4 linked regions of the Arabidopsis thaliana genome follow. The protein of the gene in region 3 interacts with the protein of the main gene of each other region in a pairwise test. Each region holds a gene or a part of one and is shown on either strand. Other genes may lie near its edges.

Region 1 (4,161 bases), on a different chromosome or scaffold from region 3:
TGCAGAAGAAATTTCCCATTTGATCAACAAGTCCTACTCCGGTAAGACTATCAACAAAGTAAGCCATGAAGAACCCTATCATCGCAGCACGACCTACACCACCAAGACAACAACTTAGATGCACAAAATGTTAAGTGTACTATATCTAAGTGTTAGATCATAAGTGTTTTGAAAATCACCATTGAGAAGTTCAGCTTCAGGTAGATGGTATCTCTTCATCCATGCCCACCATGGAATAATCGAAGTATCGAAGACAACAAGCTCGTCGTTACTCGTTGTTTCCGGGTTATCTTCAAGCCATTTTCTCCTCTTTGCCTCTATAAAAATACATAATCAACACATTTACACAACAAACACTCCTCTTCTTACACACCACTATAAGAAACCAAAGCAGAATCTTCCTAATAACAAAGCATAGACATATATCAAGTATTCAAAGAATCTGTACTGAACTGAAGTTTTAAAAGGATCTAACCAGAAACGATAACAGAATCCCAATCAGTTTTGCCATCTTTCTCGAACTGTTTCAGATCCCAAGTTCCATTAACCCACTTCGCATTCTGATATTTGATTACCGTCTCAGTACTCGAATCAGTCGCTTCACCTCCAACGGCGCCGTTTTCAGAAGCGGAGGAGCTTTCGGCTGGAGATTTAACTGGAACTTCCTCTACAGCCACAGAAGCAGGCTTCGGAATCTCCACGACGGGGGAAGTCGTACCATTGTCGGAGGAAGCTCTAGGGACGGAGATTAGAGAGAAACGCTTGGTGGAGAGAAGAGAGGTTGAGATCTTGGGGATGAGATTAGGGTTCTGAAGTGAGGAAGAGATCGGCGGAGAGAATAACGCCATGGATATAGACATTTTTTTGTTAAGATCTCTCTCTCTCTCTCTCTCTCTCTTTGTCTCTCTCGATCTCCTCTGCTCTGAGTTTTTTTTTTTTTTGCAGAGTTAGTTTGAATGTGTGGTTTGAAATGAGCTATGAAGGAAGTGAAAGAGATGTTGTTATCGTTAGAAACTTGGATTGTATGTCGTTTTCCTTTTTTAATTCAGTTTAAGGAAGAAACTACGTGATGTTTTCTGTAAGCAAAAATAGAAAGATAAACGAGACTGTTAATGGGCTTTGCGATCAGCCCATATAGAACTAGAATTCAAAACCTGACATTTAACCATACTCTCGACCCATGATTTACGAATTGACTAGACGATATGAAAATGTCCTTGGTCTTTTCTTTATTAGTTTGTTAAACTTTTGATGCAACTGAAAATAATAGAGAAAGATTATAGAAAAGTCTTTGTAAATTAATAAATACTGTTATCCAAAATACTTTATCACAAAACTAAAACAAATTTATTCCTAAGCTTAAACAATAATATGTAAACTAAGTGAAAAATCCACGTGGATGATTCTTATTGGTTAGATGACGATTTAGATATTTCATTTGCTTCGCGGCAAAGTTTCAACTCATTACGACGACGACGATCTCAACGTTCAAGAAGTTTCCAGAACTACCCTTCTCCGTGTTTAATGCCCCTACACGTGTAGCGAATGCGTAATAACTACACATAAGCAGTAAGGGTATTATTGTCAATTTAGTCCCCAATCATAAGGCCCATTATAAATAACGAAAGTCTTTATTTTCTAACTAATATTTTCATTAATCGATTCTCAAAGTCAAGCAAAAAAAACGAAACAATGGATGCGTTCTCTTCCTTCTTCGATTCTCAACCTGGTAGCAGAAGCTGGAGCTATGATTCTCTTAAAAACTTCCGTCAGATTTCTCCAGCCGTTCAGAATCATCTTAAACGGGTAAGTTTCTTCGCCGCCGATGTCTATTCATATCACACACCAAACCGCGATGTCTAGATTAGAGTCGATAGATTGAGATTCGTTTCGTTTTCGTGCTATTGATCGCTCTATGTTTCTATATTTCATCTAATTTCTATGATTTGGTTTCCGTTGAACGAATCGTTGCGATCGTACTTTATCTAGGGTTTCTAATTGGGTCTTTCCATGATTTAGTTTGTTGATACTTACTTGATTATGATTCTGTGGAGATCTTTCGTTATACTTTACTCTGCTTATTATTGTTAAGATCCTCTTGTTCATTTGTCATGTTCCATTTGCAGAAGGGAATGTGATTTGTATACTCACTCATGTTACAAATGCTCATTGGTTCTTATTATTTGTGGTGGAATCTTTGTAGGTTTATTTGACCTTATGTTGTGCTCTTGTGGCGTCTGCCTTTGGAGCTTACCTCCATGTGCTCTGGAATATCGGCGGTATTCTTACAACGATTGGATGTATTGGAACTATGATTTGGCTCCTTTCATGTCCTCCTTATGAACACGTACGTGGGCTCGATTTACCCAACCCAATAGTGAATTGGCTGCTTTCTTATTGTACTAAAGTTTCGTTTTCCTGACATTGTTGTTTGTTTTGATGCAGCAAAAAAGGCTTTCTCTTCTGTTTGTGTCTGCTGTTCTTGAAGGTGCTTCTGTTGGCCCCTTGATCAAAGTGGCAATTGATGTTGACCCAAGGTGTGTTATGGTTATGCAATTTGATTCTTGTTGTTCAATGTTAATTTTCTGTTAGACTATTCTAGGAGCTGACCTTTATATCTTTCTTTTGGTTCTCCAGCATCCTTATCACTGCATTTGTTGGAACTGCGATAGCGTTTGTCTGTTTCTCAGCAGCAGCAATGTTAGCAAGACGCAGGGAGTATCTCTACCTTGGAGGACTGCTTTCATCTGGCTTGTCTATGCTAATGTGGCTCCAGTTTGCCTCTTCAATCTTTGGTGGCTCTGCATCTATCTTTAAGTTTGAGGTAAACCGAATGCCTCTGTTTTAGAATGATCTGTTCTTTGTCTTACTTTCTCAGACATCTCACCATTGTTATGAATACGTCTCTGGTTGCAGTTGTACTTTGGACTTTTGATCTTTGTGGGATACATGGTGGTGGACACACAAGAGATTATAGAAAAGGCACACCTCGGTGACATGGACTATGTAAAACATTCGTTGACCCTTTTCACTGACTTTGTAGCTGTGTTTGTTCGGATTCTCATCATAATGGTAAGTTCATTTGTCGCTGGTATAAGAAAATGGTACACTTTATTTGTTAGTAAACCGTCATTGACGGACTCTTTTGTTATGCAGTTGAAGAACTCAGCAGATAAAGAAGAGAAGAAGAAGAAAAGGAGAAACTGAGGGGATGTAAAGTAAATTTAACTTTATGGTTGTTATCGTGTGTGGCCACTTTGAAGATATTACTTGTTAGCACTCTCTATTGGTGACCAGACATGTTTCCACTAAAAAGGATCTGCTTGTTTCACTTCTGCACAAGTACCATCTTCAGATTGTAAATGACTCGAGTGTTGTTCTTCTTTTCATAAACTTTTGTTCTTTAAGAGTTTGGTTCTACTGATTGCATCTTACCAAGCTAAGAATAATGTAGGAAAATGATAATCCTGTTTAAATTTTCTAAAATGTGTGCATTTCAGATTCTCACAGTTGCAACATTTGCTATTGCTTGGAAGTTGTAATCGAAAAATAACTTGCAATTTCCATGATAAGTGTGTAAAAACCTGCATTCTCGTGAAACGTGGATTTGAAAATTGCAAATAAATGGCGTTTAGCCTTTTGTCAAACGTCTGGTTGGAGCTTTTTGTCAAAATTTGTTCCCAATAGAATGTTGTGGTACGGCAAATGGCAAGGAATATACATCAGATTTTCCTTCTCACTTTAAAAACGACGTTATGTTTTGCATAGAGTCTAGACCTCGGAGCTCATGACCCGATCTTAAGTTTGAATCCATCCGACAAACCGACGATGGAGACAATACTAGTTATATACTTGCATATGTTCTGACTTCTGGTCCAAGGCAATCTAGGATTAGCACATTAACGTGTGTAGCATTTTCAATTGGGTTTTTGATACACTCCTTTTGCAATCCATGATAACATGATTGCAACTTGCAAAAGGATCTAAAAGAAAAGAAAATTAAAAATCACTGGCCAGAAATGCAAAACATGAACCAACCCCTAGAAGTTCTGTTAATACTTAATAGATGTAACAGAAGGAAATGAAGCCAAAAACGAGAACAAAATATTTGAATAAAACAATTACATCTCTGTTTTTTCTTTGTTTGATTTTTTAAAAGAA
Region 2 (4,951 bases), on a different chromosome or scaffold from region 3:
TGATACGTTCAAGATAATCTTGGTGTTTTGTTATGGCGTATGTCTCGGATTTGTCATCGTGCGGCTTTTAGCATTTCTTTTTGACAATTCTAAATCAACTTTCGAAATTGGATCCAATTCCGATTGAAGAAACTTTTAAAAAGAGGATGTAGAAACATTGGTATTCATTTGTAGGTGGTTTGCAAATGATGCATCACATTTTTCAATATTCAAGTTCATCTTAATTAGAAGAAAAAAACAAAACGTTTATGTCAAAGTTGCATTAGCATGAGTGCATGACTATTCTAAAAAGATTGCATGTAACAAAATTAAACAACAAATTTGGAGCTTATGTTAAGAAGACTACATATTCCATGGGGAATCGAATCTAAGACAAGTATCTTAGTTGTGGACTATTTAGAAGACAAAAACAAAGTCTTTTTGTTGTTAAAGTGTTTGAAATAAGTAATGTTGTATATGAAAGAATGATTAATATTTCAACCTAATTGAAATTTTGAAACTCTCAAAGTGCATAATGAAAACTATTATTTATATAGTGGAAAGCCTCATTGCTATATCATGGCTATCATTAAGGTTTTTGGCCATGTCTAATTACTTTTATATGAATAGTTCCCAACAGATGTAAAGGGGCTAATATCTATTCTAGATGCGTGTCCATATATGTATTAATTTGTTGATATAAAGTAATAAAACAACACATCACATCCATATCTACATCATTCATATGTATTAAGCATTTTTATTGTAAGAAGGTACTATTGAATTTTTATTTATGACTTCATTGTTAGCTAAATAAAATATATATATCTCCCTTTCCTTTTATGTGTTCAGAAAAATATTAAAATCTTCAATTTTAATTTAAGATATCAGAATCTAATTATCTATAATGGATGTTTGATTATTTTCTTTATGAACAATGAGAAATGTTACAAACAATAATTTTGTTATTAATTTTTTTTTTCAACAAACAATAATTTCATTAGTAAATTTCTCATATTATACCATTTTGTAAATCTACAATTCTATTTTTGTTAGTTTTATTATTGATTTAAAACTTATGCATAACTTTATCATTTGTGTATCTATCTATCCGGATTAGTATTACGGTATTACCACAACAAACACGTCGAAATTGATATTTACTTTGTCCTTGGTTAAGCTAAGGTTCTTCACTTCCTTTTAGCTCCCCATTACATTTACATCTTCACCTTAGGTATTTCTATCTCTCTTTTCTAAGATTTTAACACCAGCCCAACATTCTAACATTACTCTACTCCGAAAAAGAATGTTAGATTCTTATTTATTTATAAGATCAAATATGTAGATATACAATTTTAGTATAGATCTCACTTATAGCAGCTAGAGAGATGAGTAATAAGAATTATCTGCAGAATTTATTCATCTAGTCTTTGGTTGGTGATACTTAAGCAAAAGTCCCTTACTCATAGACTCATAGTCATAGGCGCATAGACGCATAGTAGTAGTCATATTAGACCCATACTCCCTAGAGAAGAGAAAAACCATTCTCTGAAAGTGACAAGAGATAACTTCATATTATCAATGGACCGACCAACCATCTGATCAATGTTGGCTAGCCATACATTCTTGTTTTTATTTTCCATTTCCAAATCAAAAAGCGGATCTGTGTCTGTGATTTATGCTGAAGAGGCTTTTAGAAAATTAGAAAAAAAATGTAATTTTTGTTTTCCAAAATTTAAACATCTTTTAATAGCAAAACAATTTATATTTGTCTACATATACATGGCGTGTTACTCTAGAAACAACACAAATTTAGAAAATACTATTTTTTTTATTCTCATTTAGAAAAAACTATTTTAATTTTGCAACTTTTTAGAAATAGTAAATAAAATATTATTTTAATTCAGAAAAAGATATGAGATTTTTATTTCTCTACAAAAACTATTTTTAGTTTTGCAAAAATAGCAAATAAAATATTGTTTATACAAAATAAAAGATATGACCTTATACAAATAATATTTTAATGGCTAAAACAGAACAAAAAAAAAAAGGTAGGAAACGTGGGCCGAACATTATCAGAAGGATTCAAGCGAAGCAAAATCCCACCCTTTCTTCTGTGACAGAGTGTCTGTATTTGTTGTTTCCCTTCAATTGGAGAGAGTAAGCGAGTCTCTTACGCCCAGAGAGAGAGAGAGAGAGAGGCTTGTTTGTTTTCTCTCCTCTAAGGTAAAATAATCCTCAGATCTCTGAGTCTCATTCTCTTCAAATTCTTCCGATTTCTTCTCTCAGATTCTATGTTTTTCTCATTATCTCTTCCCCGATTTATAGATCTTTTCTGCAAAAAGTTCGGGATTTTTTTTCGTGAATTTCGAAGAATGTTGGCTTTTTTCTTCGTCTAAGTTTCTTTTTCTCTCGTGGGATTTGATGATTTGATGTTTTAATTTGATTCATAGCTGAAAGTTTTGTTCTTTAATACATTGTCAAGGTTCTCTTCGTTGATTGGCTCTGTCTTTAGGTAATGCTGAGAATGTTATAATCTTATAATGTCTCCCTTATGTTGGATCATTGACCCTTGATTAGATTTCTTCTTTGGATGTGTTCTCTTTTGCAAATCGAGCTTTACCAAATCCTCAGATGCCAAATGCAGTCTTTTAGTTTTAGATTGCCTTTAAAGCAATAGATTTCCTAGTAATTGACATTGAATTTTTCAGTTTGGATGATCAACAGATTTATGTTCTTGTCAGATGAAGATGTTGTCATTTTTTTTCTATTGATATTTGTATTTGAATGAGTACTGTTTCATATGAGCAGAATTTTGCAGCACAGTAGGATTATCTTTTTATTGTTTTGGGATCAATTTGGTTGGAATTTCTTTTATGAGCTAGCTAGAACTTAAATCTTCTAACACTATCGTGAATTTTGTTTCACCTTTAATGATATATTGTTCATTCTCAATGTTTGTTTCTCAACAGTACTGCATTTAAGATTTTTGGTTTTGGATTTACTTGCAGAAACAATCAGTCTCATAAAGTGGCAAAGATGGTTGCAGAACGATACACAGTCGATTTGAATAAGCCACTTGTGTTTCAGGTGATGCGCTCAGTCACGTCTTTTCCGCATAGCCTTTTTTTAACAAATTAGATCGACAAGACAAAGTATCAAATGGAGAATTCTCTGTCAATCTTTAAAGCTGTTTCGTAGATTCTTTGATATATACAATGCATAACAAATTACTAATACAAAGAAACTTATATCCTTGTCAGGTTGGTCATCTTGGCGAAGAATATCAGGAATGGATTCATCAACCTATTGTATGCGTTGAGGGTCCTCGTTTTTTCGAAAGTGATTTTTGGGAGGTAACATAACAACTCTGCCTTTTTAAGATTTATCTTCATATATGTAAGCCTCTATGTTTGGCTTAAACCTTTTTTTGGGAAATTTGAGCAGTTTTTGACTCGCACGGTTTGGTGGGCAATCCCAACAATCTGGCTTCCAGTTGTTTGCTACGTTCTTTCAATATCGGCGAGTAAGGGACTTACGTTTCCCCAGATCGGTTTAATAGTTGCTTTTGGTGTACTCACGTGGACACTGCTCGAGTACACGCTTCATCGCTTCCTTTTCCACATCCAAACCAAGAGTTACTGGTTAGTTCTGTATTTGTGATTATGCAACATAGAAACACCCGATTTCATCACGAAGCTTATCTGTTTCATTTCAAACCCTTTTTTCTTCAGGGCAAACACTGCACACTATCTTCTTCATGGATGCCATCACAAGCACCCACAAGACGGCCTTCGTCTTGTTTTCCCTCCTACAGCAACAGCTATTCTCTTGGTTCCAGTAAGTATCCATGCTTGATCCAGATATGGAATCTCTTTCATTCATTCTTTACTTCAATACGAAAACTTTTATTGATGCTCTTCTTTTTCCGTTGTTAGCTATGGAAGCTTCTCCATCTCCTAGCTACTCCTGCTACAGCACCTGCTATTCTTGGAGGCATATTGTTTGGCTATGTGATGTATGATATTACCCATTACTATCTACACCATGGTCAACCTAAAGAACCAACCTTTAAACATCTTAAGGTAAGGAAAACCATCTCTAGACATCTCCTCTTTTTTCGCGTTCAAACTTATTCCTCTGCATTTCTGATGAGGTTTGATATATACATTTTACAGAAATACCACCTGAATCATCACTTTAGGATTCAGGACAAAGGATATGGAATCACTTCCTCTCTATGGGACAAAGTCTTTGGAACACTTCCCGGTATTAAAGCCGCTGCGAAGAAGAGCTAAATCGGATTTCTGTTTGCCATTTTTCAGAGTGTCGAAAAACTCACTGATATTGTGTATTCTAAATTCATCAGGTGATTCAATGACTGTTTAACTACTTCTGTATACGATCTATTCACCATATTTGAACATATTTTTAGTGGTTTAATATCATTCAGAATTTGGTCTTTGAATTGACTATTCTCGGTCCGCTTAAACCGTATTGGGTACATCTCACTTTTACAATTGTAGCAGAAAGTTACATTATCTATTATAATTGAAAAAATGAAATGACATCTTTTATATCTGGTTTTGTATTGAGGACTCAAAACAGAGGAGGAATACTCTGTTCGTTCCTGAAGAAATTTGTTGGATCAATCTTCCCTTTAACCAAACCTAATCTCTTGAAATTACCTTTGAAATAAGTCTCACCCCATTTCCTTGCATCTTCGAAACTCGTGTTAATCCCTTTGGTCGAGCCCAAATCAAGATCTCTGTAATTCAAATAAGCTCCTCTCGGCGATTTAGAAACATACGGAGTCATGTAATCGTGTAACGATCTCATCCACCTGACATGTTTGTTCATCTCCTCGACTTCATTCACTTTCCATTTCACCATGTACTGTATATTATACAGATTACCTCTTCTGTGTGGATATGGAGATTCTGTTTCTGAAATCTTGCTGATTTTCCCACCC
Region 3 (4,957 bases):
ACAACCACTACCAGGACGGTTTGAATGGACGAAGGTAGATGATTAGAAACAACAAAAAAATGGGGGGTTAATAGTTAATACAGAATATATTAACATTTTCCTGCTAATTATCGGTTTGATCTTATTACCATCATCCGTTTTCTTAACTTTTTCAACATGTAAAGAGCTTAGGAGAAAAAACCCATGTAGTGTTTTTAAATTGGTGTCTGTAACATAAGTGGCTGAAAAGGGTTTGTGTAACAGAACTTGATACCAATCCTTTTTAAGCCTATACAGATCACCTTAGTAGTAGTACTAAAGCCATAAGAGAAGGTTTTTAGAAGTAACCCAAAGTCTGTTTAGGGTTTAGCGTTTAGGGTTTAGAGTTCTTTCGGTTTAAGGGTCAGTGTTTTCTTTTATGAATTCCGGTACAGGGGGACTCTGCATTCTCTTAAAACTCTTTGTCCTGTAACCATTTTAAAAAATCTATCCTTTTATGTGTATACATGTACTGATCTCAAACTCTTTTCAATAAAGACTTATCCTTCTCTTTTTTGTTCTCTTCATCTTAAGTTCTTGTTCTTATCATCATCATCATTATGGTCCATGTGTTGTGTTCTTCAGACATATAACATCACAATGACAGGTAGGTAATACATGTCTATATATACACAATTGTATACTGATAATAGAGAGACAGAGAAGCTGTTCGTTATGGATATGGATAGTGTCTCATAGTGGTCTTTGTTTTGTCTCTGTCTTCTCACTAAAATCAAAAGTGTTAGAAAAAGATTCTCTTTCTCTTTCTCTTGCTCTTGTGTGAGTCCATTGTACTTTCCACTCTGTGAGATTTGTGCCCACTATATTATCTTAAATATGTAATTCGTACCCACTCACTACATATCATCATCATCATCATCATTATGGTGATCGTCTTTTGATCAATCATCGAAACTTCGTCGCGTCTTTGCTTGTCATAAGATTCGTTTTCTGATTGTATTGATTTGAGTCTACACACGACAACGTTTTGAATGAAACAGTCCATAGTTGTCAACTTGCCACAGAATCCATTCCAATCTTTACTTAAATGAAATTTATTGCTCTCGAAGTTACAAGTATCGAACTTTGTGTCTGCGGTTGCGACTTCTTGCGGCCAAAGCGGTAAAGAGGTACAAAAAGAGGGTCCTACAGTTGCAGAAGAGTTTTTGGATTCTTCGTGTGGATATGTTTTTGTGAGCTCAAGTCACTAACTGCCACACACTCTATCAAGTAACTGCCAAAACAAACGTCTCTTTCTCTTTGGAATTCGTAATCTGTTGTTTTTGTTTCTCCTTTTCTCAAAGTTAATTAAGTGTTCTCTTAAGCATTCAATTAGTAAGATCATGGCCTTGTTTTGATAGTTCCTTGGTTACTTTTCTTCTACAGATCTCAAACAATACTAAACCAGACTTTCAAAACAGATCACTTATTAGTCATAACTTCGGTTTCAGAATCTGAAATATAGATGAGATGTTCATTAGTTGCATAAGGCAAAAACACCAACAAGACTGTTGTTTATATGCAGTTACACCACAATAGATAAGAAATTATCCAAAATACATTCAAACAGCAAAATATGGGAAGAGACAATAACAAAGGGAGAGACTTTCAGATTTGTCTTTTCAAAAGACTTGAATCTTTCTCTCTATATATAAGATATAAGGAAGTAATGCTCAGAAAAAAAAGAAGCCTACCCTGATTTGGTGTAGATACGGATTCCGACTGCTAAACCAAGAATGGCAAGGGGTACGAGGAACTGGAGGAGCTTGATTATGAATTCAGAGGTCTTGTCTTGATTGTAGTGAGGCTGTTTAGGAGGTGTGTATTTGACTTTCTTTGGTATTGTTGTTGGATCAATCTCTCCTACGTAGTACTGCTCCATCATTTCTCTTGCACTCTCGCTGTGACCCACGTCCTCAAAATCATCCGTTGCATCCTTACCTGAAAAGAGAATAAGAATCAAAAACCGATGGATTGATCTCCACTAAGCCGGGAGCATGGTGATAGTTGTGTTTATACAGACCTGTTGAAGACAAGAGAACATCGTCCCCACCTGGATGGTCTTCAAGAAACTTGGTCACATTGTACACCTGCATTTTTTTGCAAATGTGTGAAGTTAGGAGAGGCAAATGAAACCCAATTACAGAACTTCTGAACTTTGAAGATTTCTTGTCAAATCAAGAAGTTTAAAACATGGGAAGATCCACTTCTGAGGCTTATGATTAAAATGTAAGAAACAATGGAGCAACAAAAAGAAAAGTTCTTAGGTTATCGCTTTCTTTGGACTAAACAAGATATGGTGCATATAACTCTAAAAATCAAACAATAGGAATAGAAAGATGAATACTTGAAACAAATTACTGTACCAACAACCAAGTCCAGAGATACATTTGGGATCTTCTGAACTTGATAAAAAGGATTGTTCTGTGTACATAGCAAACTTGTTGCACAGAGGTAAACTCCCAAAAAAAATGAACTTAAGTGACAATATTAATAAGAAACATAAACTACTGATGGAACAACAGACCAAAACATTTAATGTTTCCTACTTTCTTGTGATAATCTACTGATTTCACAAACCAATCAATGAAGAAAACAAAAATCAAGTTCACTATGAAGGGAGGCTCAAGGATGTATCTACAGATTCCTTCACAAGTTAATAATCACAATACAAAAACGATCGATCTTCAGGGCAAACAACTAATCGACAAGTGTCAGTAGTCCATCCCAAGAAAGGTTGATGTCGATCAAACAAACTCTAAAGACAATAAGAACTATTTCTACATTTCTCCATCTTCAATCAAAATTAGAAAATTTTCAGCTGATAAATAGATCAAAAGAGCTAAATCTTCAGCATAAGCTTAATAACTACACCATTTTCTACTCTCTCTACCCATCTAAAGATTTGATCTGATAATTTTAGACTTAGAAATCTGAGACTTCAAAAGCTTAATCTCATGCAAACACCAAAAGGGGAAACTTTGAAGCACGAGATCTCTAATTTCAGAGGTGAGAATAAGGAGAAAGAAGAATGAAACCTTTCCATTGATGACAATCCAACAGTCATGAGCTTGATTATGCTCTGAAACTTCTGAAAGAGTGAAGATCTTTGCTTCGTCTCCCATTGTTTGTTTGATTCTTGTCTACCAGAATTAACCCACCAAAACCTGACTCTGAGACTTAAAGCTCAAAACTTTATACAAGAGTGTGAGAGAGAGTTGTTGAGTTAAAGACCATTTGACGAATCAGTTAAATTCCGGTTTAATTTGGTTCGTTCTCAAAGTAATCGGTTGGTGAGTTTTGGAAGCTTTGAAAACCGGTTTAATGAAAATTGATTTTGAGTTTGTTCTCACATAGTCTGTACCTAATTGCTGCTCTACTGTTTTGGCCTTATGGTATTCATCTGTACGATTTTGAAAACATATGTGCCAATGTTGAACCGATGGGTTAAGTGGTTTGGTAGTAGTTGTTATTTCCGGTTGAGTGGATGGGGTAGGTAGGTAGGCAGTGCAAATGTTGCGGTTGTGCGCTCTAATTCTGCCTTTTTCATTCAAGATCGGTAGGTGAATGATGTGCAATAAATTTTATTATGGTACATATGAATTCTTTTCTCATAAGTAATATTTATGTAGTTTTATATTAGTAGATACAACTACATAAGAAAAATAAATTGCCGCTGCTTCATACCAACTGACCTTATTTATTAGGGACACAAATCTTTTTCTTTCTAAAGCTTATATAAAATGTACATATTATTCAAAATCAATAGATTGACCGGTGAATTTCTGACCTTGTAAACGAAAAGAGGTCTGAGAAGTTTCAAATTTGAACCATCGACAATGAAAAAAATACATTAGCCATGTTCTCTAGAGAAAAACAAGCAGGTTAACCAAAAGATTAGAACCATCATTTTCTTTATGTTTTTTAGTACCAAATAATGTTATTAAAAGAAAAAGTTATACTTTTAGGACCACCAAATCTTTTTCAATACTAAAAATTGTTGCTTTGAAAATATTAAATACAATTTACACATTAAAAAAAACTAATATATATATAATTTTAAAATGAACAATAAATATAAATAACTAAAATCGTGTTTGTTTGTTCATACACTATTTTCATTGAACTTCTGATACGATAAACAGATAACTAAAAAAAAAATTGAATGCATATGTTTTTGAATTACATCTTGAAATGATTTATAAGCTAAATAACTAGATGACTTTGTTACATAATCGAGCTAATGGTCGACCACACCATCATCATAGTTTACGCTTACCATTTCGTGTAATGAGCTGAATCGATTTATGATAATTTTGTTTATAAAATTTGATTAACCGACTGTAAGTTTATTAATTTCTCTATGATGCCTTGCATATCTCTATAAAGCTTTGTATTATGTTCTGAATTGCAACACATTTTATTGATATGATATGATGATAATTTAGCAATTAGGGTATCCTAAAAGCTCCTAAAACTTAAAATTGTATGACCAACCAATTTTGTAAAAGCAATAAGGAGTTTTTGTAAATCTTCAAAATATATTGGATCCATAACTCAATAACACAAAACTTGAGACTAAAATCATAATAAAGCTATACATTCGGGGCAGTTTTTAATATCCTGACTTGTTGGGTAAGTCTCTAAATATTCGTAGTTTGCATCCAAGTCCCTGACTTACTATCTTCTCCCAAATCTCCTTTTATTTTTACTTTCGTCCTATAAACTAAAATAAATAAGGAAAACACTCTTCTTCAAATCCAGTAGAGAGATTCAAGACGAGTCTCATCGAAAGTTCGAATCTTTCGTCATCTGATTAGCTTTCTCTTAGGGTTTATTTCGATTTCGATTTAGTGTTCTCCATCAATGGCGACACCCATGGTTAGTTCCGCTGGAGGATTACTAGCAATGCTCAACGAGCCTCATCCTGTTTTGAAGC
Region 4 (5,505 bases), on a different chromosome or scaffold from region 3:
CGCGAGCCATCTTTTCTTCTTTACTAAGAAAATTTCTACATTATTTTAAGATTTTTCTTTTCCATGTAGTTGTCTCATACTTCCTTCGAAAAGATCTTTCTCTAACTTCAACCTTGGGGATCGAGCAACCATATTTCAATCAACAGATTCTTTCATCACTCTAATAACGGACAAAAAAAGAAAAGATGTCAAAAAAAAAAAAATTGGAATATGCACGTTGATACTATAAGTTCATTTAAATCAGTCGTTAGAGTAAACCTTATTGAGAGTTCAAATTCATTTAAAAACCTGATGAGATAATTATATAATTTCTTATAAGATTTTTTTTTCTTGTAAGAATTTAACGAATAGAATTTTTCTCTCTATTACTTAAAATTCCTCCTCGTCAAAAATTGCAAATGCTTGGCAGTTTTACCATTTTCTCAGAACTACCGTATGAGAAATAAAGTACGTATTAAAAAACAATACAAGCTTTAAAGATAAAAGAGGCAACAAATTTTTTTGACAAAAAAATTAGATGAAAAGAAGTGACGACAAATAACTGAGAAAACACGTTTTGCAAAACTAAAAAAAAAAAAAAAAAGAGAGAGTTGGAAAATGTTTGGAGCTGGTGGGCATTAGTTGGCTATGCAACGCACGGACGCGGATACTTTTCAACTCGTTGCTTACGCGGCCACGTTTTCGTCACAAACCGTGTTTCTTTTGCGGCCTTTTAAGTTTTAATCAAACATTTTTGTTTTCATTTGAATCTTTTTTTTAAGGCGGTTATACGAATAAAATCATTAAAAGGAGAAACGGGCCTTCATGTTTAGGTTTTTGTTCTTCCTCATTTGGGTTATTTAGCTTATTGGTTCAGCCCACAAGAGTTTCCTTCAATGGATAGGGCCTTCAGTTGCATGCCATCATCCTTTCTTGTTTCTCTATAAGCCATTTTTGCAATGAGAATTTCTCAATTTCTTATTTTTGCAATAAAATCATTTTGCCTTAGATGATGGTGGAATCATCCGTTTTTCTTTATTTTGACCCGGTGAGTAATTGAACGCAAAAAATAGTCCAATTATTCAAAACCTTACAATTTCATATCGCCATAATAAACCTAAACATGATTCGAGTGAGCAACTACATAAAAAGGGGAACGAAATGTTGGTACAAAACTGAATTCCAACCCAATCAAGTGCATACTAAACTATTGAGCAAAAACAAAGATAAAAATCAGTTCACCTACCCTAATTAAAACATGATTAGGCCTAAAAGACTATAAGTAAAGATAAAAAAGATGCCATTTTAGAGTACGTTTTGGTAAATTGGCGCCATCGTGTTATACGTTTAAACCGTATAACCTGAATCATGCAGCACGTGTACGGCTCACATTGGCCCAAGCTTGATTAACAAACAATAACGTCATTTTCGTATTTCAACAATTTTGATCGCTCAATCCTTTCGACCTAATTTCCATATTAAGTAATTTATTAGTTAAAACAACGGACTCAACCAAATTACATATTAAGAGAATATTTGAAAATTGTCTATGTAGATGAACATGTATTTGAAAATTGCGTAAGCACACTCTTTCTCTCTCTCTTTTTTTTTTTTTTTTTTCCCCCTCTTCTTTCTTTGAATAAAGATGACATTTTTTTCTGTTCCAAACACAAAACTGCATATTGATAGTGTTATTGAATACTCAACGTCTCTTCTTCCAGCTTACGTAAGTGGAACTTACTTTTTGCCCCGTGATCCAACAGAAAATGACGAATGCTCCCTCAAAATCATTTCGTTTCAACAAAAATATGTATTTTATCCATAGAGAAACAACAAACCTTACACTATATACCCTCTTTTAACGTGCCCACTTTTCATTATTTACACAATTTCCCCAACAAATTTAAAACAATTTACAAAAAGCACTCAACTTTCCTAAAGTAGATTCCTTTAGTCCAATGGAATTCTTACAACATCTTCTTCTTCGCCACCTTTTTCTCTCCACTTTAAGCTTTTTCACTCTCTCTACGCCACGACGACTGTGAAGCGAGAAATGGCTACTTCCGATCAAGATCGCCGTCACAGAGTCACTCGCAACCGTCCACCAATAGCTCGACCCTCTACTTCTTCATCTCGTCCCGTTGTATCTCCTCCTAGATCAAAAGTTTCGAAGCGTGTGCTTCTCCGTGTAGCTTCCGTCGCATGCGGGATTCAATTCGGATGGGCTCTTCAGCTTTCTCTCCTCACACCTTACGTTCAAGAGCTGGGGATCCCACACGCTTGGGCTAGTGTGATTTGGCTTTGCGGTCCTCTCTCTGGTTTGTTCGTGCAACCGCTCGTTGGGCATAGTAGCGATAGGTGTACTAGTAAGTACGGTCGTCGGAGACCGTTTATTGTCGCCGGAGCTGTGGCGATTTCTATCTCTGTTATGGTTATTGGTCATGCGGCGGATATTGGATGGGCATTTGGGGATAGAGAAGGGAAGATTAAGCCGAGGGCGATTGTTGCTTTTGTTTTAGGGTTTTGGATTCTTGATGTTGCTAATAATATGACTCAAGGTCCTTGTAGAGCTCTCCTTGCTGATCTTACTGGTAAAGTTCCTGACTTTAGTGTTGATTGGGTCTTCAATTTGAAATCATTCAAATGTAGTAAATTTGGGATTCTCGTGATTATACACTCACATGCAAAACATGAAAATGCATAAATTTGTGATTTTGGATACAATTTGGGGTTATATAATTACCTAATTGGTTCCTAACAATCAAAAGGTCCCTTCTTTGTTTCTGGTCGGTGGCTTATCGTTGAGTCACAGAGACTTTGTTTTTTCTCTTTCCCTTGAATCAAATTGTGGATTTTGGTGAAGTTAATCGTAGCCTACGATTGTGTGATAACCTCATGGAGTGAAAACAAAGATATGTTGTGTTTTAATTCTTGTCCTATTGCTTTATTTTCAGAGAATGATAATCGCAGAACCCGAGTTGCAAATGGCTACTTCTCTCTCTTTATGGCTGTTGGCAATGTTCTTGGCTATGCTACTGGATCATACAATGGTTGGTACAAGATCTTCACTTTTACGAAGACAGTTGCATGTAATGTGGAATGTGCCAATCTCAAGTCTGCCTTCTACATAGATGTTGTCTTTATTGCAATAACTACGATCCTAAGCGTCTCAGCGGCTCATGAGGTGCCACTTGCTTCATTGGCTTCTGAAGCACATGGGCAAACCAGTGGAACAGACGAAGCTTTTCTTTCTGAGATATTTGGAACTTTCAGATATTTTCCAGGAAATGTTTGGATAATCTTGCTTGTTACAGCATTGACATGGATTGGTTGGTTTCCATTTATTCTGTTTGATACTGATTGGATGGGTCGAGAGATCTATGGCGGTGAACCGAACATAGGGACTTCATATAGTGCTGGGGTCAGTATGGGTGCACTTGGTTTGATGTTGAATTCTGTTTTTCTTGGAATCACTTCTGTGCTCATGGAGAAACTTTGCAGAAAGTGGGGGGCTGGTTTTGTTTGGGGAATATCAAATATCTTAATGGCTATTTGCTTTCTTGGAATGATAATCACCTCATTTGTTGCGTCTCACCTTGGCTACATTGGCCATGAACAACCTCCTGCCAGCATCGTGTTTGCTGCTGTGTTAATCTTTACAATTCTGGGCATTCCATTGGCGGTAAGTTTACTCCTGTAATTCTGCTGTCATGTTACTTACACTATTACTTATGATATTTTGCCTGCTCATCTGTAACAACATGATGAAATTTATTTACGCTTTCGCTGTAACTAATGCTATTGCTACTCTTCTGCAGATAACTTACAGCGTCCCATATGCGTTGATTTCCATACGTATTGAATCCCTGGGCTTAGGTCAAGGTGTGCAGGCTTATCTTTGGGTGTTGTTTCTTATAAAAGTTCTGTTGTGTTGTTTCTTAGAAAAGTTCTGCTCAATGATTTTACTCTACATATGAGTGTTGTTTCTTATAAAAGTTCTGTTGTGGCAGGCTTATCTTTGGGTGTGCTAAATTTGGCGATAGTCATCCCACAGGTACACTTCTTTCAACCATCCTTTTAGCATTATATTTGCCGCAACTCAAAATCATATTCTTCTTTGAATGTTTCTGCCTGTAAAAGGAAGTCTATAAGCATAACATGCAGCAGAGTTACTGCATTATTTGTCAATTGTCATTAATAAACGATTCGTTTTTTTAGTTATGGTCATTGGCCAGTGATGAAAGTACACTTTTTATTTCTCTATATTAGTTGATTGATGAATTTCTTCCCTATGTTGGTTATGGTTTTTGGCATCAAACTCAAATTCTGTTGTTCAATCATTTATGTGTTTGCAGGTAATTGTGTCTGTTGGCAGTGGCCCATGGGATCAACTGTTTGGAGGTGGGAATTCACCGGCACTTGCAGTAGGAGCAGCTACAGGCTTCATTGGCGGAATTGTAGCTATCTTGGCTCTTCCACGGACAAGGATTCAGAAGCCCATCCCTCTCCCATGAGATTCTCTCTTTTGTTATATAAGGTAATAATGTCACAATTCTTTCACAAAAAGTACATAGTAAGCACTTAAGTTGTCACTGATTATTAAAAGCGGCTAATGCGAAATAGATGAGTGTCAAGCGAGGAACGCATAAGGGGAGTGCTTGGAAATGGCAAGGAGATGGAACACTTAATGTGATCCTTGTCGAAAATTCGTGCAATGGCTTCTCGTGTGACTAACTTATTTGCAGCTACTAGGACTTAATCCCCTCTACTTTGGGGACTATGATCCTTGTATACACGAGGCACCATAGAACCAATGAAAATAATACATCATTCAGTTTGTGAGGTATATGCATCTCTCCTTTATTGGAAGTTCCAGTTCGGGATCTTCTCTGTTTTTTTTGTTGTTGTTGTAAATTAATGTAAAAACCTGTGTACAACAGAGTGTTTGTAAGGGCCCCTGAGTTCTGTAACTGTTTATAAAGTTCATTTTCTTTAGAATTAGTTTGATAAAGAAAACCTGAGATCCAAAAAATTTACATGATCTGTGTAGCAAAAGTAGAAAGGAACCATTACGAGTACTAGTAGTCTCTATAGTAGCAGTAACCACCAATAGTCAGCAATAGATTAGGATGACTCTTGGGAATATTAAGACCATCTCCAATGGTTAAGAAGTAATTGGTTCTTAACCAAACATCTTAACAATTATTTATACTAAAATTTTGAAACATGACATGTAACTGTTTTTTTCACTCATGAAAACTTCTTAGCTAAGAAGCAAATCTTAGTTTTTAATTTATTTTGATTTAATTTTCAAAGTTTAATTCTAAAATATTATTCTAAGATACACCTAAGATAAACCATTGGAAGTGCTCTAAGCCTAGTAGGAAGGAATAGTAGCAAATCCCAGTTTTCTTCTTGAGTGAGATGTTTGAGATTGAAATTACTGTAATGCTATTGAGATTCTGTAGGCAGCGTATCAATAATTGAGAGAAATAAGTAGATGCTAATACAGCTTGAGCAATACTT

What was found.
Region 1: the proteins of CB5-B (region 3) and BI1 interact in binary tests that used the Arabidopsis thaliana proteins (3 or more experiments, as listed by UniProt).
Region 2: the proteins of CB5-B (region 3) and FAH2 interact in a protein complementation assay, tested with the Arabidopsis thaliana proteins (one study listed by BioGRID).
Region 4: the proteins of CB5-B (region 3) and SUT4 interact in a two-hybrid assay, tested with the Arabidopsis thaliana proteins (one study listed by BioGRID).

Annotation. Positions count from the first base shown.
Region 1 is NC_003076.8:19,134,379-19,138,539, forward strand, and holds BI1 (BAX inhibitor 1), read left to right. Parts: upstream 1-1,573; 5' UTR 1,574-1,692; coding exon 1,693-1,806; intron 1,807-2,203; coding exon 2,204-2,347; intron 2,348-2,445; coding exon 2,446-2,537; intron 2,538-2,637; coding exon 2,638-2,824; intron 2,825-2,916; coding exon 2,917-3,072; intron 3,073-3,156; coding exon 3,157-3,207; 3' UTR 3,208-3,647; downstream 3,648-4,161. Other genes in the region: LIL3:2 (Chlorophyll A-B binding family protein), read right to left, coding at 1-93, 180-317, 476-860. UniProt on the Arabidopsis thaliana protein: Suppressor of apoptosis. Modulator of endoplasmic reticulum stress-mediated programmed cell death. Involved in methyl jasmonate-induced leaf senescence through regulating cytoplasmic calcium level.
Region 2 is NC_003075.7:11,173,946-11,178,896, reverse strand, and holds FAH2 (fatty acid hydroxylase 2), read left to right. Parts: upstream 1-2,015; 5' UTR 2,016-2,205; exon of another isoform or gene 2,206-2,494; intron 2,495-2,990; 5' UTR 2,991-3,018; coding exon 3,019-3,069; intron 3,070-3,242; coding exon 3,243-3,335; intron 3,336-3,426; coding exon 3,427-3,623; intron 3,624-3,713; coding exon 3,714-3,819; intron 3,820-3,917; coding exon 3,918-4,064; intron 4,065-4,157; coding exon 4,158-4,277; 3' UTR 4,278-4,447; downstream 4,448-4,951. Other genes in the region: AT4G20860 (FAD-binding Berberine family protein), read right to left, coding at 4,579-4,951. UniProt on the Arabidopsis thaliana protein: Fatty acid 2-hydroxylase involved in the alpha-hydroxylation of the long-chain fatty acid (LCFA) palmitic acid. Probably involved in the resistance response to oxidative stress.
Region 3 is NC_003071.7:13,875,305-13,880,261, forward strand, and holds CB5-B (cytochrome B5), read right to left. Parts: upstream 3,407-4,957; 5' UTR 3,144-3,406; coding exon 3,057-3,143; intron 3,055-3,056; exon of another isoform or gene 2,453-3,054; coding exon of another isoform or gene 2,366-2,452; intron 2,109-2,365; coding exon 2,042-2,108; intron 1,960-2,041; coding exon 1,709-1,959; 3' UTR 508-1,708; downstream 1-507. Other genes in the region: AT2G32710 (Cyclin-dependent kinase inhibitor family protein), read left to right, coding at 1-46; AT2G32730 (26S proteasome regulatory complex, non-ATPase subcomplex, Rpn2/Psmd1 subunit), read left to right, coding at 4,885-4,957. UniProt on the Arabidopsis thaliana protein: Membrane bound hemoprotein which function as an electron carrier for several membrane bound oxygenases, including fatty acid desaturases.
Region 4 is NC_003070.9:3,242,226-3,247,730, forward strand, and holds SUT4 (sucrose transporter 4), read left to right. Parts: upstream 1-1,760; 5' UTR 1,761-2,032; coding exon 2,033-2,570; intron 2,571-2,933; coding exon 2,934-3,661; intron 3,662-3,797; coding exon 3,798-3,861; intron 3,862-3,989; coding exon 3,990-4,033; intron 4,034-4,334; coding exon 4,335-4,493; 3' UTR 4,494-4,516; intron 4,517-4,602; 3' UTR 4,603-4,991; downstream 4,992-5,505. UniProt on the Arabidopsis thaliana protein: Responsible for the transport of sucrose into the cell, with the concomitant uptake of protons (symport system). Can also transport maltose at a lesser rate. May also transport biotin.